Linked DNA regions of Drosophila melanogaster. Changing the gene in region 1 together with any one later gene gives a genetic interaction. Each region holds a gene or a part of one and is shown on either strand. Other genes may lie near its edges.

Region 1 (10,267 bases):
TTTTAAGTCTACTTTTTTAAATCGGCCAAAACTGTTTTCACTTTTGCGAGAGGTAAAATGGGCAAGGTCTTCATTGATAAATAATTATTTTAAATTGAATTTGTATGCCCCATTATTTCCGTACAGACGCTTGAATGCAATTTGTTACAACTCTCAACTACTAACAATAAAATACATGGTTCGTAATTTAAGAAGTGAGACGATTTCACTAGTTTTAACGCGGCCAAACATATACGTAGTTCAATACAATCTTATAAAAAAAACATGTTCCCAACCGAAAAATCGATCAATTTCACTTTAGTTTTTAACAAATCCAAGCTATAATACCCAAGTGCCTTTTTATTAAATTTCAAACACAAATATTTGTGTATTCAAATCGAACAATTCTCTACCCTCAAGGAATTTTGAAAACAATACTAATGATTTAATAATGCTTTAAAGTTGGAAATGTATAAATATATTCAAGTGGCAAGTAAATTGAAGACGAACTTAATTGTCGTCAGATTTTGTCTCCACAATGTGACTTATTATCGGTATATCTTCATGCTTTGTAAAGTTGGCCAATGATTCGTTATTAAGTATGCTACTGATATAGTCACGTCTGAATCTTTCCCATTTTCGTGTCTTGATAAAGTCCTTGAACAAATCCTCCCTGGTTGGAATATTGCACTCGATGTAGAAACGCTGACGCTGCCAGAAGTTACCAGGATTTTGGGCGGGCTCAAAAAGCCAAAAGCGTGGTATCACGATGCATTGCACCGTGGTCCTTGCCATAATCACACGATGTTCCATTTTCTCGCCCAATCCAAAAATTCCCCCGAATGTCAGCGAGCCGACGTCAATGAAATGCGTTTCAAAACCTTCCTGACTGACCGTTTCTTCGACATTTCCCTGTTCCGAAGTACTGGAAGCAGTGAATATTTCGGAACCCTCCGATTCGCTCTCGAATTCGGCGCTGGCGACTGTTGAAATTGTCGGCATATCAGAAGTATCACTATATAATTCCTCGCTAAGATCCTCAGATATGTTGCCTGATTCACCACCCATGCCCATTAGGTAGAACTCATAATGCTTTCGCGTTATCTGACGTTCCGCGTCCCGCCCACGCTGTCGCAATCGCAGCCGTTGGCGTGCTGATTCCTTGGTGGATCTCCTAGATACTGGTTTCTTTATTTCGTCGCAGAGTCGCTGTATCTCCTGAAGTCCCATTTTGCGCAGCTGCCAAATAAGAAAAGAAGCACGCTGTGTTACAAAAAAGTCATATTTAAAATTGAAATTGAATTGTTAAGATCCAAACGATTTGGTTGATAACGATGCACAGATTCCGTATCTGGATGCGAAAAAGGGATATATAACTTGTATACAAAGTTATATACAAAAATGATTGTATATGGTGAACGTGTCGCGAATTTTTTTCATTTTATGATACTGATACTTAATTTAGAGCTCACCTTCCTTTTCTTGCTCTGTTCGTTTTCATCCAGCGATGAGGTGGATTGCACGTACTCGTTAATATCAAAGAGCGGCTCGTTATCGTTTGGACCTGTGTCATCATCCAGGAGAGGTCCAGTTTTGAGATTATAAATGTTTGGCAGCTGGAACACCTTTTCCCGGTTCACCATATTGACCTGTGATGGATAAAACGATACTATATGCATATTTCTGTCAAATTCGAGATTTCTAGCAGATAGCACACCTTCATGTGAAGGCATTGTAGCACCACGCATTCCCCGCTAAGGACAAAATAGACATAGCTCATGGTACCCAAGTCTTCGGTGTAGATCGTCTCCAAGGGCTCGAATTGCTGAATTGTTCCATACTTACTGGCATTTACAATCTTACAAACAAGTTATATTATAATTTCTTTTTATCTACTATTATACTTACCTGTTCTTCGTTGAGAAAGTCAAAATAGTCAAGGGCCCGCAGAGCATCCTTCTTTTCCTGCCACATCTTTTGCATAAACGGTAGAAGAACAATTTTATAGTTCGTATTGAATATAGCCAGGAGTTCGCAATAAGCTGAAAGAATCAAATGCGATTAGGTGTCAAGAAACAAACGAATCGATTTACTTGTGGCGATATAAGTGTTGGTTCTGGGTGTATCTTCCATCACGTCAATATCACCAATGCAATCCCCGGGTCCAAAAATGGCCTCCGTTTGTACGGTAGGACGACTGGAGCCCTAAGAAATATACCATTTTTCAAATAAAAAAGCATATATATTTAATAAGGCATAATTGAAAAATTGTAGCTATAACTATGCAAAGCATATTAGAAAGTATTATATATAATTTGAATAGTTTACCTTTTTATATATGTTCTTAGACATTTCCACCTCACCGGCGATTATAAAATAAATGGTTACGGGAAAATCCTCCTCCTTCATAACAATACGCCCGGGAGATATTGCCATGAATTTGACAATCGGAACAAGACGGGCGCGGACTTTCTAAAAGGGGTAACAGGTCGGATAAGTAATATTATACATATGTACAAATGATCAGCGCGCTACTCACTGGCGGAAATTTTGAAAAGCAAGCCAGATTTGCCACAATGGTGCAGAGCTTTTTCCTCTCATCGACGGAACGCTTAGCATGTGGAGTGCGCAGCAGCGATTTCTCCTGCAATTAAGCAAACACAAAAAGGAATAAACTCTTGAGCTAGCCTTGATATGAAAGAAGAGGTTCGTTGGACTTACGGCCATGGTCATCATGCCCACTTTGCGCTTCTGTCGCAGCATGGCAACGTTCTTCTTCACATTCAGCGATATTCCACCCTCCTCGGGCAGCTCACTTAGCCACTGCATATTCAGTATCACGGATCGGATGAGCTTCTTAAACCGAATCTTGGCTATTTTCTTTCCAGCGCCATCGTGAACATCGCGTTGGCGCTTGGACATGATTATGCCTTCTAAATCCCACTGATGTCGAACTGTTCAGTTCAGAGTATTGTGTCCATATAATAGTATTCGAATGACAAAGATTCGGGCTGCCGCCTGCTGTCTAAATAAGCTTGAAAATATGAAAATATATAAACTTAATTTTACCCCATTTCAGATTTTGACGGCTAACGGTTTTCGTGCGCACAAAAAACATGTGTTATTTTCAAAGTGTTTAAATCATCTTTTGTAATTTCAACACATATTAGCTTTTCATTTAAGAAATGTACATTCAAATGCTGAATAAATATTATTTGCGTTTGTTTTTTCTTTAAAATATTATATCTTAAATTGGCTTATCGTTTATAATCGATTTCTTATTCGAGCTGTACTCTCTGGCGCTATCTTGACGCACATACATTCGTCCGATAAGTTGGGTGTGTGGTATATTTCGATGATTCACTACGTTCACACTGCGCACAATTGAATTCTGTGGCTATCGGTACGGAAGAAATTTTAGTTCGTTTTAAATATGCAATTGTTATGAATAACACAAGTTGAGCAAATAAAAGACGGCAATTCCCAGCAGCGCGATTTGTTTTTTTAGCTCGGTGCTGCAGTGCAATGTAAAGTATATAGAGGAAAATATTTACACATGCGCATTAACCGATTAATGTTCTGTGTAAATGGTTTTATTTTTTTTTTTTTTGTATTTTTTGTTACCCATATGAGAGAGAATTAAATGGTTGTGCTAATGATTCATTTACAAAGGAATCACAAACCGAACACAGCCCAGAAATTGTGAATCAAATGGGCAGTAATTACCCCGCTTGAGAGGAGTATGATAAAGACGGCGACGGTGATGACGATGTTGATGATGATGAGATGGTGTTGATGATGATGATGATATGATGACTCTTCGGGTCGTGTATGTATGAAGAAAAGAACCGAATGAATTTTTTTGTGTTCGGCTCGTTTGGCAAAAAGGGCTTAGCCTAAAGTTTGTGTGTGGTGTGCGGCTCATATAAATCGCTTGTGTTTTAGATAGATGTTGATGTACAAGAGGGTGCAGCATATTCCTATATATATACCAATGTACATAAAGTATATATACGGTGTTACAATTCATAAGTAACTTGTACTTTCATACAACTCGAAATATCCTAAAAATGTCTGCGCATATGTAAGAAAGTCAGTCGCCCGGCGATTTCAAAGAGCAATATGTACATATGTACAGTGGCTCACAGCTTAATTCGTCCAGAGGTAAATGTTTATTTAATAATTCGATGAAAAACCGTTTAAAATATCAAAGAAATGGAATAGACAATTTTCCTTATCCATACACATTGAAAACGTATAGAATCAATATACAGATTCTAAGATGAAAATCTTTATAGAAGAAACAACTTAAAGATCTTAAAGTTGTATGGTTTTTTGTTGTCTAAGCTGTGGGTTCACTACACTCCTATATTACTGACTGAAACAATCACAATTGATTTGTTATCTGTAAAAGTAAACAAAGCGCAAACAGCTGATGGATGTGCTGTCCATCTTATCTTTCATTTAGTTTACTGCGAAGTCTACGTCGTTAATTGCTTTTAAATATGGTTTTGGATATAAAGTAGCATTGTCTCTATATTCTAATTAATAAACCCGGTTTCTGGTGCTGGTTGTAATCGGTTGTAATAGCGCCTATTAGTAAATTTCTTGTTTTACCAATAGGCTTAGGTTTAATCGTATTTAGTGTAGGTGTGATGTATTCTTGCCCCACAATTTTGCATACGTTGTTAAATTATTTGTTAGATCCTCAACTTTCGTAACATTGGACCCGAATTTTGTTTTGGACACTTATAGCGAATCTATTCCAATTTGTTTTTGTGAGATTACCACCACCGATATGGCAAAGAAAATGATTTCACGGTAAGCCCCGAATTCCGAATTATTTTCCATTATCTATATTTAATAGCATTAGAAAGCGGAAACTAGAACTAACAAATCTCTCGGGGCGTTTTTAGTGAATGGTTTTAGACATATCTTGGTTTAGTTAAGCATTTGATTCTATTAGTGACTCTCTAATCTGATTTCTGATTTTTATCAAATATGATTTTCGTATTGTAATCAAAGTAAGGCAGCTAAGTGTTTTTATCTGGTCTTCTTACAGTTTAGCACGGAAAACCCCACACAGTCACAAAAGTTAACGTATCTCCTCAGTTAAACGCATTCTTATCATTGCTATATGTGGCTTTTATTAAATCGAATTCCACTCGAAGTTAAATATAGACTAAGACTCGCATTTGCTGAACAGAGATCATAAGCCTAACAATGGCGGACCTAATACATTTGGGAAACATTGATGTTGTCATCCAGAAAGATAAGCCCGGATCGCCAACGGGCTGTTCGGATGATGGGAATCTTGCGGGGCTGGGTGGCATGACCGGATTGGGTGGCATAATGGCACCTGGCGGCATCGACTTGGGTGACTTGGCTCAGGAATTGGATCACGATGAATTCGATGGACCACATATGCTGAATGGTAAGTAAAGTTACATGCCCATACATTGTAGTTCGATCGATAACTAATTTTCCTTGCAAACTCCAAACGCAGGTGAACGTCCAGCGATTATTGCTCCTCCGGAAAGCGAATGGTACCATGGACGACTCGATCGCTACTCTGCAGAGTCTCGCCTACGCGGAAGCAGTAAACTGGGCAGCTATTTAGGTGTGTATAAGATGGTATTCGAAGGTGAGAAAGTATTACTAAATAAATACCTTTGTGTTCTTTTTTTAATGCTGAGCAGTTCGCGAAAGTGACCGCAAACCTGGCTCCTATGTTCTGAGTTATTATGGCCGCACCGGCATAAATCATTTTCGGTAAGTAATAGGTTAAGATACCCATTAAATGCCATTGTTTTGAATGATTTTTTATATATGTATGTTGTATCGTTAACATAGGATTACAGCTGTGTGCGGAGACTTCTATATCGGAGGACGACAATTCATTTCCTTAAGCGACTTGGTTGGTTACTATACCTCATGTAGTGATCTACTGAAACGCGAACGCTTGGCCATACCAGTTGCTCCGCCGGAGCCAGTTAATGATAAGAAACGCGTCGTAGCCATCCTGCCTTACACAAAAATGCCAGAGACCGATGAACTGAGTTTCCAGAAAGGTGATATCTTTTTTGTACACAATGACATGGGCGATGGCTGGTTGTGGGTGACTGCCCATCGTACGGGCGAGCAGGGAATGATATTCAGAGAACTTGTTGACGATCTGGATGTATCTATCGATCCAAATACGGTGTTTCCCTGGTTCCATCCCAACTGCACCAAAAACGAAGCCGTCGATATGTTGGTTAAAGGTGTGTATTATTAGTTTAAGGTACCTACAAGTAAGGAAAGCAAGCTTTCCCGAGATTCACGAGATGAATCCTTAGAATTTTGAGCTTCTTCTAGTGACGCCTACAATCGATATTTTCGACTTTTCTCTGTTGCTATATGTATGTAATTGAAACACATTTTTTCATCCTAACAGCTGGACCAGGAAGTTTCCTCGTTCGCCCAAGTGACAACTCACCGGGGGATTACTCTCTATTCTTTCATATAAACAATCAAATCCAACGCTTTCGTATTGAAAAGAAAGGCGTGCGCTATTTAATGGGCGGTCGTACATTCGAATGCTTGGATGCGGTTATAAATCGATATCGCAAAGAGCAAATTGTGGAGGGCCACTCACTGAACCATCCAGTTGTCAATGGCATTCAGCCCGAGTTCAATCAGCAATATGTTGTGGAAAAGGCCGCTGAAAAGATCTACGCAACATTGCGCGAGTGTCGTGACCAAATCGGTCTCAAAAAGATCAAGGGAATCAAACATCACGGCCATTTGAACAAGAAGTCGGACAAAACGACGAAATGGAAGCAACTCTATTTCGCTTTAATCAACGATGGTTCCGAGACGCAACTATGCTTCTACGACAATCCGAAGAAGACCAAACCGAAGGGTCTGATCGATTTGTCCTGTGCTTACCTCTATCAATGTCACGATTCGCTGTGGGAGCGTCCCTATTGCTTCCAAATTGTCGAAAGGGCCCTGCCATGCTTGGCCACAGTGACGTATCTGTGTGCTCCTAGTCAGGAAAGCTACGTGGAGTGGATTAATTCGCTCAAGGCACAATGCGATTCCCAGCTGAGTCGTGCCCAGAAGAAGGTATCACGCCTTCGTGAGCTTCGTTGTCTTAATCTGCATGTGCTGGAAGCTCATCGATTACCATTTAAACTAGTGCCACATCCATACTGCAGTATTTCCCTCAATCAAGTCAAAGTGGGCAAAACTCGTGTCAAAATTGCACCCGAACCCGTTTGGGAAGAGGAGTTTGTGCTAGAGTAAGTCTACCATTCCTTCGCCTATTTGATAACTTATCGAATAATATATGTTTGTAACTTGCTTGCTTGCAGCGATGTTCCGCCAGATGTTGTCTCCCTAACCATAACATTAATATCGCGCGGCAAACGCGGTAAGGACTCCGAAGTGGCTGAGCTAACCATTGACTTGTCTAGTCTAAAGAATGGCCAGGAAACCGAGGGCTGGTACCAACTCACTGGCATGACGCCGATGGGTGAATGGGGCTCGCTACGATTGCGTATGCGCTACCTCGACGATCTGATAATGCCGTGTGAAGAGTACAGTCCTCTGCAGCAATTGCTCCTCGAATCGGAGCTGTATGCTGTGAAGGCGCTGGCTGAATTGTGCCATAATGATCGGGTTCCTTTGGCCACGGCTCTGTTGCGAGTCTTTAGGCAGGAGAAACGGGAAACGGAACTAATTCGAATGCTGTGCCAAGCGGAGGTGACGCGCGAAAACGAAACCACAACGCTTTTCCGTGGCGCATCCTTGGCCACCACCCTAATGGATCTATATATGCGCACCGAATGCAGCGGCTTCCTGCAATCGGCCGTCAGCGAAACCGTGCAGCGCATTTTGGAGAGCAAGCAGTCGGCTGAATTGAATCCCACGAAAATGGACGTCAACGATGATGCCTGTACGAATGCCGAGTTTCTATTGCAAATCCTCGATCTGGTCACCCAGTCGATATTCACTTCACCGGACGCCTGTCCACGCAACGTGCGTTTCATTTGCAGCTGTCTTCAGAAGGCTGTGATGGCCAAATGGCCGACAGAGCGGCTCGTTCGCACACGCGTCGTCTCTGGCTTTATATTCTTGCGCCTTCTGTGCCCAGCGCTGCTCAATCCACGCCAATTTGGATTGGTCAGCGAGACGCCACCGATGGCAGCAACACGATCTTTGGTCATGGTCGCCAAGTGTCTGCAGAATCTGGCCAACTTGATTGAATTCGGCGGCAAGGTGCGTATCGATTCGACTCAGTTATGTGATTACCAAAATAAATTCGATTTCTTTTTCATTTTTAGGAACAATACATGGAGGTTGTCAATCCGTTTATCTTGAAGAACAAGGAGCGTATGATTGTTTTCTTGGATCAACTGTCCTCGGTGAACGATCCGAACCAACCGCTTGGAATGTTTGTCGAACAAAGTACAAATCTGAATTCACAAGACACTGGTAATTATTTGTCAGCTCATGTTTTCTATTTGGCGCTGTTATATTATTAAATATACAATGATTTCTTTTATAATTCCTGCAGGACGCGAGCTGGCTACCTTGCATCACATCTGCGTATCTCATTCGCAAGAACTGCACGAGCTATCCAACATACTTTCAATTAAGAAGCTGGTCACAGTGACGGACATGCTGACCAAACACAAGCTGAAGTATCGCGAGATGATCAGCTAAAATCAATTGCGAGGAGAGCGGATAATAAAAAAAAGCGATGTCTTCTTATCTACAAGTCCCTTCATACCTTTTTATAAAAATATTTATATGTGTATACTATTAGAATACATAAAATAAGAACTCAAAATAACTGGTTGAATTGTATTGGAATAGTAAACAGCATCTCATTTATAAAATTATTTATATGGAAATGAAATAATATTTAACAGACCGGTATGCATTTATTTATTATTATTATTACAAATTAAAAATAACCTATAATACACTAGCTTACACGGATTACTCCGTATAGCCGCAAACTCAGATATTCAAAATGGTTTTGCTTTCGATATTGTTTAAAATTTATTAGTGCATTACCAACGTCAAATGGCAGTTGGCGTCCAAATGCACGGCATTTATCCAAAAGTCAATACATTTTTTTTTGAAATAACGCATAAAATCGAAATAAATTAAAGAATTCAAAAAGAGTGCAAAAGACTTCCTCTGAAAACATACACTGTGTTTTTGAATGGCTCCCTTTCGGTTTCTTGCAGCTGAAAAATGTTTTTTTTTCGAATTTCTTCGCACTTAAAGGCGTTGCAATGGGCATGGAAAAGTCAATAGTCAGCTGAATTTAATATAAATACATATATTCTTCAAAGGAAACAACAGTTTTGCGTTTATATTTGCAGTTTCGCATCTGATTTCTTATTTTAAGTGTATAAAATCATATTCAAAGAAAAAAAAAACTACCTGATTCGTTTTATATATATATTTAGTATCTATAAAATATTACATATTTATTTTTTAGATTTACATTTATTTACGCCCCTTCCCCTTGCGACCCTTCGAACCCTTTTCGCGCCTCTTCTTTGCATCCATTGACCGCTTGTCCTTCTTCTCGCGCGGATCGACGACCTTATAGCGACCCTTGACGCCAGCTGGACGACGTGCGCGTCGAGCTGCTGTCTGCTTCTTGGCCACCACATATGTGACCTCCTTCTTCTTCTCCTGAGCCTTCTTGTACACCTTCTTCAGTTGCTTGGACTTCTCGTGGTTGGTGGCATCGCTGTTCTCCATAATCTTTTCGGCCATCTTCTTAGCCTTGGCCAAGCGTTTCGTGGCACGACGATGCTTGCGCGCCTTGGCCTCCATGACCTTCTTGATCGGACGCACGTTCACCTCCTGCAACTTGCGCTGGTACTCGGCGGTCAGCTCCTTCGGCACCGGTGTTGGCTTGGTCATATGCTCGTCCTCATCGAGCTTGAACCAAACGGGAACGTTCTCATCGTTGAAAGCGTAGCGATTCCAGGCTGCGTCGATCAAGTCACGGCGTGTCTTCTTGCTGCGTGTCAGCAGTGCGCCCAAAGCCATTTCGTTTTCGGACAGGCGAACCTTCTTGGCATTTGTACCTGATAAAAAGCAAACGAGAATATTAGGTTTAGGAATATTAAATGCTTATTTTGAACTCACCTGCAGCTGGCTGTTCGCCGTCGCTATCCTCGTTAGCGTCATCCTCGGATTCGGATGACTCTGAGCTGCTGTCTTTAGTTGCGGTCTCATGGCGTGCACGACGTTTGGCCTTCTTACCCTGGAC
Region 2 (7,250 bases), on another chromosome or scaffold:
AACCAGGCACCGAATCTCCAGCAGCGTCCCTCCAACGATTCCCTGGAGCACTCGAACAGCTCCACCAACTCCCTGGACAGCCCCTCCCAGGGCGGAGCCAGCACACACCACCGCTACTACCATGTGTTCCGCGAGGGCGAGCTGGACGCACTGATCAACCACCATGTGGCCAGCCTGCACATCGTTAGCTCCTACTACGAGCGGGCCAGCTGGTGTGTGGTGGCCGAGAAGGTTCAGGTGTGGACCATCTAAGCACCCAACTCTCAAACGGGGATTCGAAACGAAACTTAAGTTTATTTGCTATTACTGGGACCGAAGCATGTATACCAAATATTTAAAGGATATACGTTAAATTACTTTGAATTACATTTTTTTATACGCATCTAATACATTTTAAGTTGCTCTACAAAAACACTTGAATATCTTTTTAGGACATTCAAAATCCAAGCAGCTTTTTTGATTTTTTCAAGGCGTACCCGTTTACCCGTTTGAATCCCTGATCTAAAACAAATGCCCATTTCCTAGCTGTAGTCTCTGATCTGATGCCCCCAAAGGAATTGTTAAATTTAGTCTATTACTCTAGTCGGCTGGCGGTGCGGGGCGGGGAAGGCCCGTCCTGCTATCCAGCACTAATTTATTGTTAGCAGGCCTGCTCAAGGACGCGAACGCAGGATTGCACTGCATTGAAATCCAATTTCAAAGGAAAACTTAGCTGTAAGAACGAAACCAATCGAATCGAATGCGATAACGAAACAACGCAAGCTAAATACAAATCTTACTAGTTATACGAGCATATTCTATTTACAACGATCATCTGTTTGTATCTTGCGCTATCTGCAGACTAAGTTTCAAGCACTTTATGCTATAATTTCGAAGCGAATAATCATCAAACGTCCATTGCAGCCAACATATACCACTTATACAAGAGAAAATCAAGATACCAGTTAAGCAGCTAGAACAAAGTAATATAGCAACTATGTACGTGCATGTATACACTCCTTAAAACTGCAAAGTTAATAGAACCCTCTAAAAATATCAATAACTGCATTTAAATCTATGAGAAAACCGTACATATATCGAATGCAAAGTAAAATCAAAAATATATACACAAAACAGTTTAAGAAACTCTTTCCGCAAGCTCACAATTTTCCACATATATAAATTTTTCACCTTTTTAAAGCACTTTTTTATTTACTTTAATTGATTGGATAAAGTACCCAACTCACTTCCCAAAAACGGCCAATAAGACGATTGTAACATAAGCCTATGCCTAAACTCAAATTTTTGTCAGCTTAAGAAGGGTTATTTGAAAAATAACGCAAACATTTTCAATAAAACCAAATATATACATATATATACCTATATGCGACTGTACATGTGTTTTTTAGCTAGCTAAACTAACTTTATACCGTAAAATAATAGAACAATTGAATAAATATTAACTAACGTTGGACGCAACACTAAATTACAACAGATAGAACTCGATTTGAACCTATTACTGCTCGAAATGCTGAAACATTATAAACATTAAGTATTGCTGGAAAATATGTATAATTTGCACAGAGCCAAACAGGCACACTCAAACGGAATTAACTCAAAACCCAAGCTACAAAACCATCTGAAATATTTAATATTGATAATTTGTAATGCATTAACAACAACATTAAATAAACTAATAATACTTACTGAACTGAATCTGTTTTAAAAATCATTTATATTTCTAATTGGAACACTTAGACCATATAAAATAATAGCATCAAATGAGATAGAACGAAATGAAGGCCAAATATTTTTGGAATTTTTAAACGCTCCTGTGAGCGCGCGCATTTACTTGTGGCTTATGGTCACCCTAATGAATTCAGTACTAGTTGGTCTGATGCCATCACTATTTGAAAATAAGCGATATATCGATAGGATGTAATTGTTATCACTTATAAAAGCGTTTCGGTATTGTGAAAGAAATGGAAGGCGGTACACACACAATATAAACATCCAAATAACAGCCTGTAAGCCCTTAGAAAATTCCCATAAAAAAAGAAACAGTGCCCGTTTTGTAAAGCCAAACCATCCAAATTGTTGGAAGAGAAGGAAGTGAACGTCTCAGGAACTGAAAAAAACACCAAGGATAACGAACAAAGATGCCACTCAACCAATTGCCACTCCCCAAGCTCAACGAAAAGCTGCCCTATTTAGTTGCTGAAATGCAGTAAAAAACGCATAAACAACTGTTAAAACACCACAACAAGATGACCCAGAAGCCAGGCGAGTGGGCTAGCGCCCTTTTGGCACGTTTCGAGGATCAGGCAAGTGTTTTCCAATCGCTTTTCCGCAGTTGCGTTTTCGCAAGCGAAAAAATGTACCTGCTGCTCTGCCTCTTCCTCCCCCACACATGCTCACAGCGACCTTGCGAGTGTGCGTGCCTCACCCGCTCTGTCAGTGTGAGCTCTCAATCAAATGCGTGGGAGAGCGAGATAGCAACAATAACAAAAACACCGGTTCCCGCATGAATGAAGTGGAATTGAGCAATCAATGGTTTACTTTTTCAGCTGCCAAACAGAATCGGTGCCTATGGCACGCAGGCCAGGATGAGCCAGGACCAATTGGTGGCCTGTCTGATCCACATATCGCGCTACCGCTTCTCCCTTGTCATATCCGGTCTCACCAAGATGCTGCAGAGGGTCAATGAGGCGGTAAGTACTCCATTCTCTATTGTTAACCCTTAAACTATGTTGCCTTATTTTATGGGGCTAGGATACGATTAAATTACTTAAACAAAAATTTCATTGCAGGCCCTTCAAAATCGCCATGAGCCAGAGCGTTGCTACTTTGAGTCGCTGGTCATCATACTGACCACTCTGGAACGCTGTCTGACCAACCAGACCAAGGACACAGCACGTTTTGAAGAGGCCATGAATGTGAAGCTTCTGCTGCGCGAGATCTCCCAGTTTGTCGACGTCCAGAGCGACAGCAATCCGAATGCCGCCCAGCTCAAGGCCCTGGCATCCAAGGTGCTCTTTGCCTTGTCCCAGAATCACTTCTCGGCGGTGTTCAATCGCATATCGGCCAGGATTCAAGAGCTGACATCCTGTTCCGAGGAAAACCCGGACTACAACGACATAGAATTAATTCAACACATCGATATGGATATGATAAAGCTAACCAAGCTGCTACAAGGTAAACTAACTTTTTTAATATTTCGGAAAGGTTAAACAACGTTTTACGTTTCCAGAAACCATCACAAAGTTTCGATCGAAGCGTGCTCCACCTTTGATCTTGCTTTACTCGCTGGAGAAGGCTATTTGGAACTGGATCGAGTACCATCCACAAGAGTTCCAGGACTTGCAACGAGGAACCAATCGAGATATATCAACGTAAGAGGAATTACAAGCGTTTTTAAAGTCACATTAATTGATCCTGTTTCGTTTAGCTGCTGGGAACCCCTGATGGACTTTGTAGAGTACTTTAAAACCGAAAACAAGAAAAGCAAGACTCTTGTTTGGCCGCTTCAAATGCTCTTGCTGATATTGAATCCCTCTTGCCTTGAGGCTGTTGTTAACGAACTTCAGCAGTCGGAGAAAGAGAAGGAAAAGGACAAGGAAAAGGTTGCCTCGAAGTCAGCGCAATCCACGTCCCGGGACAAGGACTTCTCGGCCAAGCAGTTCATCGAGAGTATCAAGAGAGGCTTGGGCCAGCACTCACCATCCAAACAGGTGACCGAATCTGCGGCAATTGCCTGTGTAAAGCTGTGCAAAGCATCCACCTACATCAACAACACCGACTCCAATAATGTGGTCTTCAAGTTGGTGCAATTCTTTATCAACGATCTCAAGGCACTGCTCTTTAATCCAGCAAAGCCCTTTTCGCGCGGTCAGGGGTACAACTTCGCTGATATCGAGCTGATGATTGACTGCTGGGTGTCTTGTTTCCGGATTAATCCTCACAACATCGAGGCTCTAAAGGTTTGCCTGAATTTGTCCTCGCCGCAGGCTTACCATTTTGTAATTGTGTGCTCTCTGCTAAGGTAATTTACTTGGGTAGCTATATAAAACTCTTGACTTTTACATGTATACTTTCCATTATAGGTTGGCTCACATATACGTTGACTTCCGTTTGCAGAACAAGAACCCCTTTCGAATAGTAAACCAACCGAGATTGTCTTGGTGGCCGCAAACGGATGTGGTTCACTACCGTTCTGCTGAGCTACGAGCTTTGTTTACGGATACGCTCAACAAGGCCACCCAGGGTTATATAGCCCATACGCCACTGCGCTACATAACCTCCCTGACGCTCAAATCTAAAGATACCCAGAAAGGTTTAACCCGCGCTGAAGAGGGTCCCGCCCACAAAATGCTATTACTGCTACTCGTACGGCTAATTCATGCAGATCCCACGCTTTTGTTGAATGTGAGTTATTTGATAATTTGATCGATAATAGTCTCATATTTAACAATTGTTTTGTAATATAGACCCAAGGAAAAGTGGCACATGAAGTGCAGAGCTCCACATTGGAGCTCATCAACGGCTTAGTTAGTTTGGTGCATCAAACTACCATGCCCGATGTGGCACAAGAGGCTATGGAGGCGCTGCTTGCTCTGCACGCCCCGGAGAAAATAGAGGTTTGGAATCCAGAGGCTCCGATCAATACGTTCTGGGACGTTAGCTCCCAAGTACTGTTTTCAATCTCGCAAAAGCTCATTCAACACCAAATTGCCAATTACACTGATGTCTTAAAGTGGCTACGCGAGATCCTCATCTGTCGGAATACTTTTCTTCAGCGACACAAGGATTATGCACATGTGGGAAGTCAGATTGCCATTTGCAAGCAGGCTCACATTAAGATGGAAGTTGTTTTCTTCATGTACCTGTGGAGTGTTGATTTAGATGCGGTGCTGACATCGCTATCGTGTTTTGGACTACTATGCGAGGAGGCTGAGATTTGCTGCAGTTCTGATGAATTGACAGTCGGATTTATTATGCCGAATTACCACATTTACCAGGAGCTGGCTCAGTTGTCCACATGTGAGTTTGGTAAATTCATCATACATATTTTTATTAATAATAATTTCGTTTTAGCTGCAACGGACTCTCGCATTTGCTTTTTTGACAACACGCACGGCAATGTGCTGAGCCGTCTTACACTTCAAAAGCGCATAATGACCCTATTGCGCAAGATCGAGCACTGTGTTCATGGTGTTCAGCCCGCCTGGGAGGAAACCTTCCGCAACTGGGAAGTATCCAGCAAGGTTTTGCAAACGTACCCCAAATGTAAAGGAGAAGATGGCCAAGCGGAGGTTTTCCATCGTGGCATGGGCAAGCGGCGAGCGAGTCACCAAAGCTCAGAGCACGATTTGGAGGAACAAATTAATGAATGGGCCAATATGACATGGTTTCTATTAGCCTTGGGTGGCGTCTGCCTTCATAAACGTAGCAGCAGTCGTCAAATGCTGCTGCAGCAATCACAGAACAATGCTTCTTTGGGATCACTTGCTCAAAACTCTCTTTACTCAAGCTCCACAAGTTCTGGACATGGCTCTCTGCATCCTAGCACGGTTTCACTATCCACTCTTCCCCCAGCACCGCCACAAGATGTCAGCTATTGTCCTGTAACACAGTAAGGTTTTATTTATTTTAACATGTCCCATATATAACCTATAACTTTAATTTAGATTCGTGGGCCAACTATTGCGCCTGTTAGTTTGCAGCAACGAAAAAATTGGACTTAATATTCAGAAAAATGTGAAGGAACTGGTGGGCGAGGAGATGTCCACCCAACTGTATCCTATACTCTTCGACCAGGTTAGAGCCATCGTGGAGAAGTTCTTCGATCAGCAAGGTCAGGTGAACGTCAATGTGACCGACATCAACACGCAGTTTATCGAGCACACCATCTACATAATGAAATCAATTCTGGATCCCAAAGCCAACAAGGATCCCAACAACGATCAACCCTCGCCATCGGAACATTTAGGTGTTACAAGCATCGAAGGCATGATGCTAGGAATAGTGCGCTACGTTCGCCACCTGGATATGACTGTTTATGCCATTCGAATCAAGACAAAATTGTGCCAGCTTGTGGAAGTAATGATGAAGCGACGCGACGACCTCGCCTTTCGCCAGGAGATGAAGTTCCGGAATAAACTGGTTGAATACTTGACCGACTGGGTGATGGGCACCTCCCATCAGATTGCACCGCCCAGCTCGGCGGATGCCGCTATTCTTACCAACACATCCCTCATATTTCGCGATCTAGACCAAGCCTGCATGGAGGCAGTGGCTGCCTTGCTTCGGGGCCTTCCCCTTCAGCCTGAGGAATCGGATCGAGGCGATTTGATGGATGCAAAGAGTGCGCTCTTTTTAAAGTACTTTACCCTATTTATGAACCTGCTGAATGATTGCATCGATAGCTCCGAGGCGGAGAAGGAAATGAATAATACCCCACTATTGCCTCCGCGCCCTCGAATGGCAGCTGGAAAACTGACCGCTCTGCGAAATGCCACTATTCTAGCCATGTCTAATTTGTTGGGTGCCAACATTGACTCTGGTTTGATGCACTCCATCGATCTGGGTTATAATCCTGATTTGCAAACGCGTGCCGCTTTCATGGAGGTGTTGACTCAAATCCTGCAACAAGGCACCGAATTCGATACCTTGGCCGAAACTGTTTTAGCTGATCGATTTGAGCAACTGGTCCAACTTGTTACAATGATCAGCGACAAAGGAGAACTTCCCATAGCAATGGCTTTGGCTAATGTGGTGACTACATCCCAAATGGACGAGCTGGCTAGGGTTCTGGTCACCCTATTCGACGCCAAACACCTGTTATCGCCACTCCTATGGAATATGTTTTATCGCGAGGTGGAGGTCTCAGACTGCATGCAGACACTTTTCCGTGGAAATTCTTTGGGCAGCAAAATCATGGCCTTTTGCTTTAAAATATACGGCGCGAGCTATCTCCAAATGCTACTAGAGCCTTTAATTCGTCCGCTTCTGGATGAGGAGGAGGAGACCTGTTTTGAGGTGGATCCAGCTCGTCTGGATCCAACAGAAGATATTGAACAGCACAGGAACAACTTGATTGCCCTAACGCAGAAGGTGTTTGACGCTATTATCAACTCGTCGGATCGCTTTCCCCCGCAGCTGCGATCCATGTGCCATTGCCTGTACCAAGTGCTAAGCAAACGCTTCCCGAATCTTCTTCAAAACAATATCGGTGCTGTAGGCACAGTCATCTTCTTGCGGTTCATCAATCC
Region 3 (7,183 bases), on another chromosome or scaffold:
GACAAGCAGCTGGAGGAGATTGAGATCCTGCGCCCGATCCTAAACCCACAAAGCTGCCAAATGCGACCAACGCTCTCAAACACACAAGCACACACATACACACCCACACACAAAAGAAAACACACATTGTTTTATGCGATCTTTTTATTAAGTATTTCATTTAAGGCTTATTGTTTATGCAAACAATCAACAAACATGATTACATTTTAAGCTTTACGTTTAGCGCGCCAAAAACAAAAAGAAATCAAGTTATGTAATAATGATGCAATCGCAACTCAAGAGGACACCTAACAATTTGCTACATTACATTTAACTAAATGACTACATTACTTGGAAATCGTTAAGTGTCTATTGTATACTATAACAAAAAAAAAAACCATATGCGTGTAAACACTCTCTGAACAATAAACGAAAAACCAAACGGCCATTTGACTTAATCCGCAGATCAAGCCGAAATCTGTAACTAAATAACTGAGAGGACTTCTGAGTGAATCTGGTTTGTGGTGAGGATCTGACAATCAAATAATCTAGAAAATCCTTTTCAGAAAATCAAACTGAAAACGTTTCTACTTAGATACAACTTGAAACTTCATTTTAACATAAGTTTGGTGTTGCCAAGTCTATTAATGCATTATGACAAACGGTTTTGATATACTAATTGCCCTTGATTGGTATATATTTTAAAATCCATAAATTCAACAAAAAAAATCGAAGCTTGAAAATCATCTATAAATCTATTTAACAGCCTTTTCCTCTTGCCGTTTAAATGTATTCAAAGTGCGATTAGGAAAACCCACATTGGGGTCTTTTATGAGTATTTATGTGTAAACTTCACATTAACATGAGGTGGATAAGAAAAACTAAACGTTTTAAGAAACTTGTTCACGACGCAAATAGTAAACGAAGTTTACGAACCCATATTGACGTCAAGATCGAGTTAATACTAAATAAATGTTGTAAATTAGGGAGATCAAAAAACCCGGTCCAAATGGGTTTTTCATTCATAACGAAATAATAACGGAAGCTAGACAAATGACCAAAACACTTTTCCGGACATAAATATGAGAAAATATGGGAGGAGTGGGTTTATAAACAGGCCCAAAAACCTGAAACCGAAACTCGTAGACCCATTCATACGAATGGAAATGCCACAAAATACTATATTTATAACATCTGCGCCTAGCTTCGAATTTTGTGGGCGGGGCAAATGGAGGAGGAGGAGGAATCGAGTGGACAGCTGGAAACGGAAAAAAAGAAGAAAAGCCCTGTCTCCTCTTCTTCCCACGTCGGTTACGTTTCGTTGAGCGAAATGATCAACATATTCAAATGGTCGTTACGCACGCTACACAGAAAATAGCATTGTGAACGTTCTTAACAAATATTATGATACACTTTAAAAGCATATACTAAAGGGAAATGTTAATTTTCGATAAGTCTCTTTAAATTATTACAATTACTATAAACTATAACTGTGTTATAGTATTTACAATTATAATTTATTTTATATACAATTATTTTGCTCAGTGCAGTTGAAGTGACTAGATCAAATGCAGGGCATACGAAAACAATGAAACCCAGCCGAGCAACCATCCGAAATGTTGACCCGACCACTTCCACTTATTGGCGGCAGTTGTGATAAGATGCACCGCCTCACTTGTTGATCTCTCCCTGCCAGTTGTTGTTCTTGTTGTTGTTGTGATGCATGTGGTTTCCAAGGCAAGGAGCAGAAGCAACATATGCGTAAAGAAAAACATAAGCGGCGTTGCTGTCCGGATGCCGTGTGAATTTCACATTTCACTGCCTTGTTTCTGAATATTTGTGTACTTTTAATGTACATATGTGTGTACTATGTAGTTCCTCGGGTTCCTGTGGACTGTCTGCGATCCAGAACGCCCACGTAATGTGCGCTACGGTATAAACAGCCGGGCATTTGATTTTTACTTACTTTGCTAAGCATAACTAGCTATTGATACATGGTTATTGGAATAGATATGAATCTTAAACTGGTTGAATTTAAAAATAAACATTGCTTTCTGATATAATTCCTTAACGATCGATCATAAACAAAACAGGGTTTTTTATTGCTTTGTACCGCCCTTCTTAAGTCGCATATGCCTCGACTTTCTCTGCCGGCGATCTTCGGTTGTTTCCGCTGTTGGTGGCGCCGGTGCAACATGTGTGTGTGTTTAAGTGTAGGTGACCGCTGCTGCGTGTGTGCGTTTTCATTCACAAAATTTTTGGGAGGTGCATGTGTACACTTGCCGCTTGGAAATTTTAATTCAGTTCCATTTCGGCCGACCTGCAACACGTTCGTAATTCGGAGTGTGTTTCAAAGTTAAGCAACTAAAAACCAATCGGAATTAATAAAAACATCAATTAAACCTCAAGTTAAAATAAAAAAAACCAAAAATTCAGTGTTTAATAATAATCAATTTTAAATAAATTACAAAATATATAACTGTTTGTTGGAGCTAACGATATATATTCGATAGCCAGAACTGGTGAAATATCGAAATTAAACTTAAACATTTTTAATGAAAACCTTACTGTTGTGCTTAACTTAATAAGCATAAGCCGTTGTTGAATAAAATAAAAAAATTATTTTAAAACATATCTGCTTCAAACAAATTATTAAGCAAACATTAATCATTTGCGTTTCCCGTGGTATTTTCGGGGCACCGTGCTAAGGTCACACTAATTCGTTGGAGTCATACAACCGTCTCGCTACGGTCACTCTAGTTCTGATTCCGCTTCGAAAGGTTGTTCGCGGATGCGTGTAAACCCGCAAAGCAAATAAACTCGGAGAACCAAGTTTTTGCGATTCTGATTCAAGCAACCGAATTACTTTCCATACTTCGATAATATAATCCCACGTCTGCTAGTGCGTGCAAAAAACAGTTTGTAGTTAAAACGAAATACTAAAATCAGTCGAGCCCTGAAGCAACAGGGAAAGTGCATTTCGTGAGCGGCAAATCGACTCATATTCCCGTCACACCAGCTCAATGCACAATGCAACGCTGCAGCGAGTGATGAAATTCAAATGCAAATAGCCGGCTAATAAACCTGTTAAAGAAAAACAAATAATTTCGAGTTATTAAAGTTTCGTGAAGATCGAGTGAAGGAGTTAGATAAATTTCCAATCGCGTGTTGCAAGTTCCCCAGTGGGTAGCTGACAAAAAGCTGGCTGCTTTAAGCGCACAATGCTGCTGAAGAAGAAGCGCTATATGTTCGACGAGCGAGACGACAATAATATTAACTCGCCCGTCGCCGTCGAGCCAAGCAGCAACAACAACAAAATGGCCGATACACGCGAAGTGCGCATTGAAGAGCAATTAAAAGTGAAAATTGGTATGTAAATCGAGTGCGAAATCGTTCAAAAACATCAAAAATATGTCGAAGAACATGCGTGGCATGAACGTTGAGTGAAATACGCGCAGCAACGTGCGTTTTTTATGTTCCAAAGTGTGCTGGAATTTTGACAGCGTCGCCGTTTGCCCCGCGGAGCCTCTTCCAAGCAGAAAACAACATAGAATCGGGAGAATATGTCTAAAAGTTTTCCAAAATGTTGTGTAATCTAATGGCAAACCGAAATTTGTGCGAGTTGAGGCAAAGAAAGTCGATTAATTGAGAAAACAAATGTGTTTTTGTTCTAGAAATGCATATTGCGTTCAAGTGTATAAGCATGCTGTCCCGCTCTGACTCGCGTGTTGCTCTGTGCGTGTGTGTTTCTGTTGCCTTTTTCCCTGTGTGTGTGTGTTTTTTTTTCGTGCAGCAGCAGTGCAATACATTTGTTGTTGCTGCCGTTTGAGAAGTAATGGATGACCAGGCTGAATGTTACGGCATTCGCTTCTTGACCCACCCCCAGAACCGCTCTTCCTCCTTCATCGCCCAGCACACCCCCCGCAGTTTTGAATGCGCCCCTTTTTGTGAATGAATCGGAAATCAAGCATGTGTCTGTGAGACGCTCCAGCGCATGCTCACACACACGCGACAAACGCACACACACAAGCGGCAGAGAGATCCCAGCAACAATGTGTGGGTTTTTTTATGAATGGAATTTTCGAATTCGGTGTACTTTTCTCAATACGAAGGTGTCTGTTTTATGAATGATTATCAAAAGCAACAAGCGAAAAGAGCATCGATTAATGGCCTACTATATATTGGCAAGAGGTCAAATGAATGAATGACGCTCTCTCACTTTTCCTCTCCATTCTGCCATCCACTTCATTCTGAAGCGAGAGCGAAGCAGACTGCAAGAGATAGACGAAAAATAAACTTGCGGTTGTTTTTTGGTGGTTTTACATTTCCTGTTGAAACATAAAAAGTAAAACAGAATTATGAATAACCACTGGCTGTGTGTACTGTGCGGGGAGGGGGGGGGGGGGTTCAAAAGTTCCCGTGATCTCATTTTCACACCTGCACACGCATTTATTTTTACCTCTTCTGCTTCTCACATTTTCAATCTCGCAACTCATAAGCAGCTTTTGCTATGCTTTTTCAACATAAATTATATGCAAAGCTGCAACAACATTGTTGCCTTGCCGCTTTTGATTTCCGTTTCCCAGCGCCCAGAGTTTCCCTTCGTGTGTTGCGGTTTTGTGTTCTTTTTCTCCGGCCATAAAACTCTTGCTTTTTTCAGTTGCTCTTCTTTTTTTCCGTGTCTTCCCCTCTTCAACTGCTTTTTGCACGCTTCAATTGTTTTCGCATGCGCCTCTGTCTTTGTCGGGATCTTCTCTTCGCACCCTCCTCTCCTCTCGACACTTCCTTTTGCCACATTCCCTTCTTTCTCCAGCTGCTTTAACCCTTTTGGGTTCTGCGAAGAAGATGGCACAATATTGGTTAAAAATGAATTAAAACACGTTTCTGCGCTGATTGAAGAACGAAAGTTATGCACTTCCTTCGATTATCGGGTTGTTATGGCAAATTAGCTGTCACCTTTTTACCTCCATTTCATTCGTTCGCCTTTGTGGTTCATGTTTACCCTCTTTACCTGCAAAAATTCCGTTAAGGATCGACCACAGCTTCCCAAGATACATATCTGATCTCATTAAAAATCCTGAGTAGTTATTACACAACACCATATCTAAAGGAATTGCCATTCAAAAATGCCTCTAAAATGTTAAAAAATGCTGTGTTATGGATCGGGAATACCTATCGAGCAGGAAATTTAACCATATTCTCTAGTTTTATAGAAGTATTATTGGGAACTCACTATTATTTATTTATAGTTTTCCCTCTTAAAAACTCTACTAAAGATATAGAAATGCGATTTCAAACGGCTCACGATCACGTTTTCTAATGATTGAAGAATGAAAGTTATTCATTTCCCATAATCATCATTGATTATCGCATCATTATAGCACATTAGCTGCTGTGTCACCTCTATTGCCCATCAACAGTCAGCTTCTTTCCCATCCGCTTTATAACGTGATATATGTACGTATTTATATATCGTTATAAGCGCTATACATATCTATGTATGTATATGTATGTACACCCTGCATTCTTCTCCCAAGTATCATATTTCCACTTCATTATGCTTTGCATGCTTAATAATAATACTTCCACATCGTGCTCAGTTTCAATTACACACGGAGTTTCGCTTTTGTTGCTATTGTTGTGGGGGCTTTCCATTTCCATTTTGTTGCTCGTTGCGATTTCTACACGAAACGTCCGTCCAAAATTGGCGTAATACTTTTCCACTTAATTAAAATGTTTAGCGCATAACCTAAATTTCATTTAGAATGATAACGAGGGTGTGACTCACTATCGATCTCCCTTTGAATATCAATGACATTTTAACTGAGGAATTATTACTCACTATTCGCCGCGGACCACACGCAATACAGATTTCGTTGAACTTGAAGACCCAGAACAGAGATATCTAGTTAACATGGACTCGACTTTGTTCAGTTCAATTCAGTTCAGTTCTGTGCTGTTTAGAGTTCTGTAACAACAATAAATAGTTTGGCCAAAAAAGGTAATTAATTAAAAGCCGGTTGTGTTTGTACTTGTGGTGTGCTGTGCTGTGCTTTGCTGTCTTGTTCTCCAGTTGGTTGCCAGTTTTCCATCTCGTTTTCCTCGCCTCTCTTCAACCGGGCCAAAACTGGTTGCAATTGAACGAGCCAAAGATCGCATGGAACATTTCTAGATGGTTCGTACTCGGTGGACGCCAAGGCGATGTTGACAATTAGTTCTCGGGTCGTGTCTTTAAATCATTTTTCTAATACAAGTTTGTATATATACATATATATATATGGTTTAGCTTGAGCCACAATTAAAGTGGAATATTTTCATTTGAAAATATGGCCGGGGGAACAATGTTAATTAGCCCAAAGGCCGGTGGCTCATTCGCCGAGGTTTGTTTGTCCCGACAACTTTGTTTGCCGCTTTCAAGGAACCAGCGTTTTTATGTAATTAGCGCATTCTAAAATACTTTTTATTCAGGTCGAAGTCGGCGTTCTTGAGGTTATAAGGCACAGCAAAAAAAATGAGATCGTTTTGGAAATTATGTATGATCTATATTCTAAGTGAAGAGCAGATTCTTCTAAATAGTGGAAGATCATTAGTACAAGTACACTTTATTCCTAGTTAATATTGAATGCATAGAGATCTTTAAATCAAGCAGTAAATCTCTTTTTTTTCTGTGTATCAGTGGGCAAAAGGGAATCACAATCGCAATGACAACGATGACGTTGATGACTCTGCCTGTGATGATTAACATTTATCTGTGGCTTTCCACAATGAGGCAGCAGCATGTTATAATGTTATACATACTCGCATTTCCCCATTTTTCCCTTTTTAGGGGGGGGGGGGCTTTTTTTATGACTTAACGCTTGACCTCCTCGCATTTACTTTGATGTTGTTGACTTCATCAGGGGTCAGAGGCATCTGTGGAACACCGGGTGGGTCAGTTGTCGTCCGGATCGAGTCTACCGCCTCTCAAGGCTTTGAACTTCACGCTGCAACTTCAATTTTTCTGTTTTTATTGTGGCGCTTCTTTGGAGCTTAACTGATCTAAGTCGTGCTCCTCTGCTCAGTTCCATCGGACAGTCAGTCTCTTGTAATTTGTAATTAAAATGAATTCTGTTTTTTTATATCACTTTTTTTCGGGCCGAGCTGCGTTATTAATTTTGAGCCACAATTTGTGCGCTTCGCTGGCTCGTTTCAAGTGTCGTTTATT
Region 4 (7,166 bases), 5.4 Mb from region 1:
ATACAATGGCATGTTGCCCCAAGAGCCGCATACCACATTTCCGCATGGATCACTGGGTATGAAGGAAACATTTTGTTTGCAGCAGCGCATGGCAACCGAGAAGTGGCACCAACTTGCTGAAATCTTGAGGCGTCCAACGCAGAAGGAGGCGAACTAGATGAGGGACAGTAGGCGGACGAATTGGAATACGACTACGAATGCGACTACGAATGCGAAGGCCTTGTTTATGAATACGCGGGCATTGTCTGAATGCGAGATGTGAGGCATGGCACAACCAGGAAGAGGTGGATATGGATGTGGATGTGGATGCGAAGGAGAATTGGCTGGCCAAAAAGATACACAGCAAATATAGATACTTCTGCGGTCACAAACACACGTACAGATAAAGATACAGATACAGATACATTTTCAGAAACAGAAAACGATGCAGATATGGATCCAACACGGCCGTGTGTGTCTGTCTGTGTTTGGAAACTAAACAAGAAAATATTGACATATAGATTAAGACTTATTAAGGGAGCTCGAGCTTGGTAGTCGACATCAGATCGCTGGGAATGCCGACGCGAAAAATGAAAAGAAGCGAACAACTCTGATGGAGAAATGTGGCATGTTGCATGTAGCATGTGTAGTATGTAGTATGTAGTATGTGGCATGTCGCGTGGGGTGACATGTTGCCCGATCTGCCGTCTGCCACAAAAACACGTGCACTCACTCGCAAATACTCATATATATGTACAAAGATATGTATAAAGATATAGGAGCCCAGATACAGATACTGTGCCACTTGAATTGAGGCAGGTTCAGCCCGCCGCACACTCATGGCCAATATTTGCCAGCAAATATGGTCGAAATCTATATTTAGACACTTACGAACCGCGAATCAACTGATCGATTCCCATCCAACGATCTCGATCTCCCTTCCCAATAATAAAAACAGAGAGAAGACAGAAAACCGGAGCGTATCGCTGTTAACTGGCTTTCTATTGGAACAGTTGGGCGCAGCGGTTAGCTGTTGATAGCCGAAAGCAAAACAAAGTCGAAACAAAAACAAGAGTGCGACTTTCAGACCTCGAGACTCTTGGCCAACTATTTTGGCTGCCGCTGCGCCCACATGGTAGCTCAACTGGTGCTAAAAAGTGATCGCCAAAAAATGATCGCACCGCCAATGCAGCGCATTAGTCAAAGCTGACTTTTTTGGCAATTTTTTTTTTTTTTGGTATTTTGTTATTTAATCTCTGTTTTTTTTTTCTTGCCATCGAATAATTTTAACTCGACATTGCGGCATTTCGTGTGTGGGTGAGAAAAGTTTGGTGGGGAATTTAGCTGAGATCATTCAGTAGGGCTAAGGACTTATAAGCATAGTCAATAATCATCGGAAATTATAGCGATTTTATTTGAGTGTGATCATCTATCAGTCAATGAATTGGTATTCACAGAGATCACTTGATAATCATGAGTTGTATCCATTAAGTGGACAAATTAGTTAGTTCAGTGAGTGATATGATATGATAAATTAATTCTAAGAACTACTAAAAAGATATTAACTGGAAAGAGCCCGAAGAAAGGAAATGGTATCCCAAAAATATCTGGGCACATACGTTTGTATGTATATGATGGGATCGCAACGATTCCTACGTGTATTTAAATGACCATCGCGATAAGCCAAAAAAGCCAAAATATACGAGTGGGATTAGTGGGCATATACAGATGCGATGTTCCCATGCTGAGCGACGAGGATCATTAGCGAAGTAAACCACTGACGATCGCTATCATAATACTGGCATGGCAAACATACGTACGTACAGAGATACCTGGCTGACTGACTGACCAGCGAAAGCAACCCATTGATAAGACCGCTACAGTGGACTATCTAAACCTAATAGCTGTGACAACCGCAAATTGCATGAGGAATACCATATCGACCGGAGGGGTAGTACCGCAGGGTAGGGGAATGTACAGGTAGTGGGACACAGGTAATGACAATAAACATTCTCCACTTATCAGCAATCCGCTGATGCACGCACACAGAGCGAAAATTAGGGCACGTTTCACGCACACCACGGTTTTGGATATTATGTTAGATAATATAGATTATAATTGTTATACCATTTTGCTCTATTTATATATTTTTATATCTTAAGAATGCCTAATTAGTCAATAGTAATAGTAGACCTTGTTTGCTCTGTGCACTTGTGGTTAAGGAAATATTGAGATGATGTTGCGGTTTTGGTTTAGACTTGGAGCTCAGACTTAAGTTTTGGGTTTTTGCCTTTTGATTTTTCGTTTTTTTTTTTTGGCATGCGATAAGACTCGAGACAAAGCCAATTTCCCGCCGATTTCATTGGAAAGATATGGAGTATAGGGGGTTATACATATGTGCTAGCAACAGCTGATTAGCCATTTGAGCAATTTGCAGCACAATCCGTACACATTATCAAAATTTGAGCCGTTTATCATCAGGTGCGTGAAAGCAAGAGGGCGGTGCCCGATGAGGTGAGGAAATGACAACGGCGACAGGAATGCGAATGCGAATATACGAATGCGAATGCGATTGTATGTATGAATGGTATGTAGATGTACGATGGGTATATATGGTAGGTGCTATAAGGTGGCCTGCGAATACCTGGCCGATTAGCAATCCACTGTCAAAATGCATTGAAAGCGAAAGACGACACTAAAGGAAACAGGGACCAAGGGTGCAATGTACCGAGTGTGTAAACCGAAGAGAACCAGGCACAATGTAAAGAAATCCAACGCACTTTTGGCGAGAAAGACAAAAGAGCTTTTCACTCAGAAAAAAAAAAGAATAGTTGTACAGCAGTAATTATTACTATTTATTTAAAGTTAGGTTTTAATCTTTTTCCAAAGATATTGTACAAAGATTTAGTATGATAACCCAAACTGGGAGCAATTAATGGCCAATCCAAATTCACCATCTCGAGTGTGCACTGTATTTTCTTCGAGTGAAAGAAGGGCAAGCGATCAAGAGAGATAGAGTGAGAAGAGAGAGCGGGTGGAAGAGCGAAAAAAGGAGTCCGCGTGGTCGGTGAACTTGAACTTGTGAAAGGATGGGGGAACTACCGGTAAGTGGCTTTATGGATGGGCTACGATCATCACTTTCAATTAAATTACCAGGGGAACGCCAATGCCGCCAAAAGTCGCAACCCGGGAGCCTAGGAACTGGGAATCTCTAGTTCTGAAGATCTCAAGATCTCTGGAACCTGCTCCAATTTTTGTGCGCACTCGCACTCACTCGCCGACAAACTTCACTTCACTTTTCGCACTTAACTCGGCTGCTGTTGTTGTTGTTGTTACAAAACAATTAAATATAAATAACAACGTTGTAGCGCAAATAAAAAAAATTAAACAAAAAAAAATAAATAAAGACCGGGGGAAAAATATAAAAAAAAAGATGTGTATTTAATTGAGCGCGACACGCAGTGATCTTGTGCGACACAATATTATTTTACTTGAGTTGCAGCACAATTTCAATTCTCGCGATCGCCTTACGACTACGGGACTACGGCTTTACGGATTCCGAAGATTACGGGTTCAATTTCTTCTCCACAATTCTCCTTCAGCGAACGAACGAACGAACAACCGACCGACCGACCGACCGTTTGTGGCCGAGTGCGAACTCGAACTAAACTGAACTGAACTGAAGCCGCCGACAAAACGAAGATCGTCGCCGGCAGCAACAACTCGCTGCGATAATAGCAGCAGCAACAACAACAGCAACAACACAAGCAAAATTACGAGATGCGAAACGATGGCGCACAGTGGTCACACTCCTACTGAAAACTCTCCATTCAGTTGATGGATAATGTTAAAAGTTCTTTGCGCCACAAGATATGTATATGAATCTAAACTATTTATCAATAATAAAAGTATATTAAGAGGTATTTTTAACTTAACAGCACAATGGTCGAAGAGTTAAGGAAAGTTGTATCATATGTTTACAGAACATGTTAACAGCACTTTACTCCACAAGATATATGAAACCATGGAGTAATAGCTTAATAGTTAAACTATATTAAAAAAGAACTTAAACTTAACTCTATTGTGGTCACATGTCAGTCATAAGATCTTACATTTTTCAATATATTAATTACAACCATTTACCCAACCATACTAATTTATGAAAGTATAATATCAAAACTATAATATAATGTATTAAGCAAACTTTACGCTTACTCATAGATCATTGTTGTCACTGTGGTTAACATAGGTTGTAAGGAAGATAGCAAAGTTTTTAACTTTGTTAAAGAAATATTTAATATTAAAGTTTATTCTTCTGCTACTAAGTCAACTTACTGTATTAAAAGTTTCCTAAACTATTCTTTCCGTAAATTAACAATGTTTTAAAATGGAAATTACTATGAATGCAATGGATTGTTATATTGGTGTTTTACGGTTACAAAATTTTCTTTAAAAAAGCGCGGAGTTGGCAAAAAATAAATATTGCTCACCAAAGTGAATTATTAAACGGCAGGTGCTGATTTACTTTCGATTTTGGAAAAGGTGCTTGTAATTATCAAAAATTTATGCTGTCCCAATTTAATTAAACGTGTAATGCAAAATAAGCTTATATTGTTTAAAACAAGTTATAGCTGAAAGCCAAAGCTATGGCACATGGAAATCTAAAATGGTTGTTTTGCAATATATCAGTAATATTTTTTCACATGGTACTGCTGACCAAATCAATATTTCTTGCTGTAAAATGAGACTTTTAATTGTCGGAAAATTATGACACCCATAAATTTTAATTAGCAATCTGTTCTTTTTGTCTTTCGTTGTTTGGTTTTAGCTGGAAATTGAATGCACAGACTTTGGTTCACAATCTTAACAGATTCTCTTGAAAATTATCTTTTATCAGTTTTACTATCGTATATGAATAAGTATTTATATTAAAAGATATATTATTGTGCTTAACCCGGTTATATCTTGTTAAGAGGGCGACGTGTTTGTTTCGCTTGATTTGCAGCTTTGTTTGCTATGTGATCGCATTTTTTGCTCGCACTTATTAATTTTTTTTTTTTACAATTCACCTTGTATTGCCAGCCACAAACAATTTGAAAACGCGAAAACTGTCGATGACCGATAAGCAATTGTCGATTACCGATTAGCGTTTTGACTTCTGGAATTGGAAAGAAGCTTCTGATTTCTGATTTTTCACCTTTTTTTTAGCCCTTCCATTTCGAAATTCAGGTTTTCTTGACAGACCCCCATACCCGCCCCATTTGTCGTGTTGTTCTTCTTGTTGTTGTAAAGTGCCATTGTGTCGTGTCGTCGATCTCATTCGCAAATTATCTTTGTTTGCGAAATTGTAATTGTTTTTGCCGTGCACAATTCAGCAAGAAACCGAAGAAAAGGGCTGGTCTCGAAGTCACATTACCCTCTGATAGTTATTATTCCTTCACCTGCGATCTTGACCATCTCAAAAATTAAAAAAAAAAAAAAATGGTAAATAAATATATGAAAATTCATAACTAGATAAATTATAACTTTATAATAAATTATAACAGGTCGGAAAAATAGAATTAAAACGCTGATTATCATAGATGCCCTCAAAATATCGATGCTTACCATAGATGTCCTCAAAAAAACCAAAGATCGATGATTTTTTTTCAGTGCAAGTGGAGTGCTCAACAGCGGCAGCTTCACTATTGTTGTACTCGATAATGGCTTTTCTGTTCACTTTTTTACTCGTCCCCAAAAGCGGGGCGTGTTCGTTGCTTTGTGCTTTTGTTTTGTTGGTGGAGCTGCTTAGCTATTATTTTTGTTTTATTATTTTGTAATACCTTGACATAGGGTATTTAAATATTATGCAGAACTTCAAATGACCTGTCCGAACGGTGCATACACTATTTCTGTTTTTAATAACTTTTCAACACCTTTCCGGTGGTAACAGAGATTTTCAGTGTTTCCAAGCTAAGTTTAAAACATACATTTTCTTGGGTAAAGAACCTACATATCTCGAAAATCTATGGACCCACAACTACACTACCTGTAAACTTTTTTCTGGACCGTGTCCCAGTAGCAACACATTGAAGTATGCTCTGAGTCTGAGTTTCAGATTGCGATTCCTATTCCGATTCTGGGTTTTGTGTGGGTTGGCGACTGTCATTAAATAGTTTGCTTTTCGCTTTTTACTATAACTACTTCTCTGCTCTATTGTTTTTATGTTCTCTTTTATGCATTTGTTTTGCCTAACAATAAACGATGGGTGAACAACAAATGAAACACATGAAAGCGAAAATAGCAACTAAAACAGCAGTTCAATTAACTCTTTTTGTGAGAAATAAGTGCAATCAGATTTGGATTATAGACCAAAGTGTAGGGCATAACTTGATAGCTAACTCTTGATTTGTATTAAATAAGTTACTTTTTGAGTTCTGTGACAGAAAGTCGCCTACTATGCTATGAATCTTTTGAGTTCGCCTAACAATAGCTTTCAAATGGTAAGTGCTATTTTCCTATTCACTCTCGACGGAGAATGAATGACCGACCGACCGACCGCACAATCGTCCGATTAAGTGGCTCATTAGGCGCCGAGGAGGTCATGTGAGCCATTTAGGCAAATTGCATAAGCGATCCGATCCACTCAAGTGCTGTCCCAGCACAATTACACGACGTACAATGGGCGTTCGTAGACGAAGATATTGTGGCAGAGCACACCTGTTATAGAAACACCAACATCCCCACCGGTGGACTAATGGAATTTTAACGTTACGAAAAAGGCAACTAACCAAAACCACCCACTGGAATCTGGCATCCAAGGACCAGGATTAATGCGAACGTGGGGCGCATGTTGCTAATGTATCTCTTATTAGCGGACATACGCATTCCCATCCCTCATTCTCGTTCCCGTTCCTCGGCTCATTCTGCTCAACCCCCAGTGTCCTGCATCCTGTGTCCTCGGCTAATCCAGTGGAAACATCATTTTGAGCACCTGTTTAATTGCGTTAATCACCAGGAGCAAACATTATTGCCAGCGCCATCAGATGCCGGAATGATTATGACTGGGGTCCTCGGACCCTGATTACCGCGCTTTTTTTCGCCCTCAGCACTTTGACCTTTATCCTGGATCCTTGGGGTCTGGGTAATGCTAATTTTTATGTACTTTTTCCGGCACACAGCTGGATGGAAGTGTCGTTGTTTTGCCT

Evidence for each region.
Region 2: of vap (region 1) and Nf1, changing one suppresses a phenotype caused by changing the other (phenotypic suppression), as found in Drosophila melanogaster (2 studies listed by BioGRID).
Region 3: of vap (region 1) and RasGAP1, changing one suppresses a phenotype caused by changing the other (phenotypic suppression), as found in Drosophila melanogaster (one study listed by BioGRID).
Region 4: of vap (region 1) and spri, changing one suppresses a phenotype caused by changing the other (phenotypic suppression), as found in Drosophila melanogaster (2 studies listed by BioGRID).

Annotation. Positions count from the first base shown.
Region 1 is NC_004354.4:15,998,861-16,009,127, reverse strand, and holds vap (vacuolar peduncle), read left to right. Parts: upstream 1-3,315; 5' UTR 3,316-4,143; intron 4,144-4,683; exon of another isoform or gene 4,684-4,800; intron 4,801-5,041; 5' UTR 5,042-5,202; coding exon 5,203-5,413; intron 5,414-5,485; coding exon 5,486-5,599; intron 5,600-5,678; coding exon 5,679-5,751; intron 5,752-5,832; coding exon 5,833-6,242; intron 6,243-6,415; coding exon 6,416-7,265; intron 7,266-7,337; coding exon 7,338-8,244; intron 8,245-8,309; coding exon 8,310-8,460; intron 8,461-8,542; coding exon 8,543-8,691; 3' UTR 8,692-9,177; downstream 9,178-10,267. Other genes in the region: CG12698 (uncharacterized protein), read right to left, coding at 490-1,218, 1,452-1,628, 1,697-1,837, 1,888-2,021, 2,073-2,184, 2,308-2,451, 2,519-2,623, 2,701-2,901; CG8939 (uncharacterized protein), read right to left, coding at 9,490-10,082, 10,144-10,267.
Region 2 is NT_033777.3:25,981,046-25,988,295, forward strand, and holds the start of Nf1 (neurofibromin 1), read left to right. Parts: upstream 1-1,967; 5' UTR 1,968-2,246; coding exon 2,247-2,303; intron 2,304-2,546; coding exon 2,547-2,690; intron 2,691-2,789; coding exon 2,790-3,174; intron 3,175-3,229; coding exon 3,230-3,371; intron 3,372-3,427; coding exon 3,428-4,021; intron 4,022-4,082; coding exon 4,083-4,404; intron 4,405-4,466; coding exon 4,467-5,019; intron 5,020-5,073; coding exon 5,074-5,611; intron 5,612-5,666; coding exon 5,667-7,250. Other genes in the region: fid (fire dancer), read left to right, coding at 1-252.
Region 3 is NT_037436.4:9,850,830-9,858,012, reverse strand, and holds the start of RasGAP1 (Ras GTPase activating protein 1), read left to right. Parts: upstream 1-2,727; 5' UTR 2,728-3,200; coding exon 3,201-3,348; intron 3,349-7,183. UniProt on the Drosophila melanogaster protein: Inhibitory regulator of the Ras-cyclic AMP pathway. May function as a negative regulator of Ras85D/Ras1 in the sev signaling pathway. Acts cell autonomously in cone cell precursors as a negative regulator of R7 photoreceptor cell determination.
Region 4 is NC_004354.4:10,581,778-10,588,943, forward strand, and holds the start of spri (sprint), read right to left. Parts: upstream 3,646-7,166; 5' UTR 3,133-3,645; intron 1-3,132. UniProt on the Drosophila melanogaster protein: Potential Ras effector protein. May function as a guanine nucleotide exchange (GEF), by exchanging bound GDP for free GTP.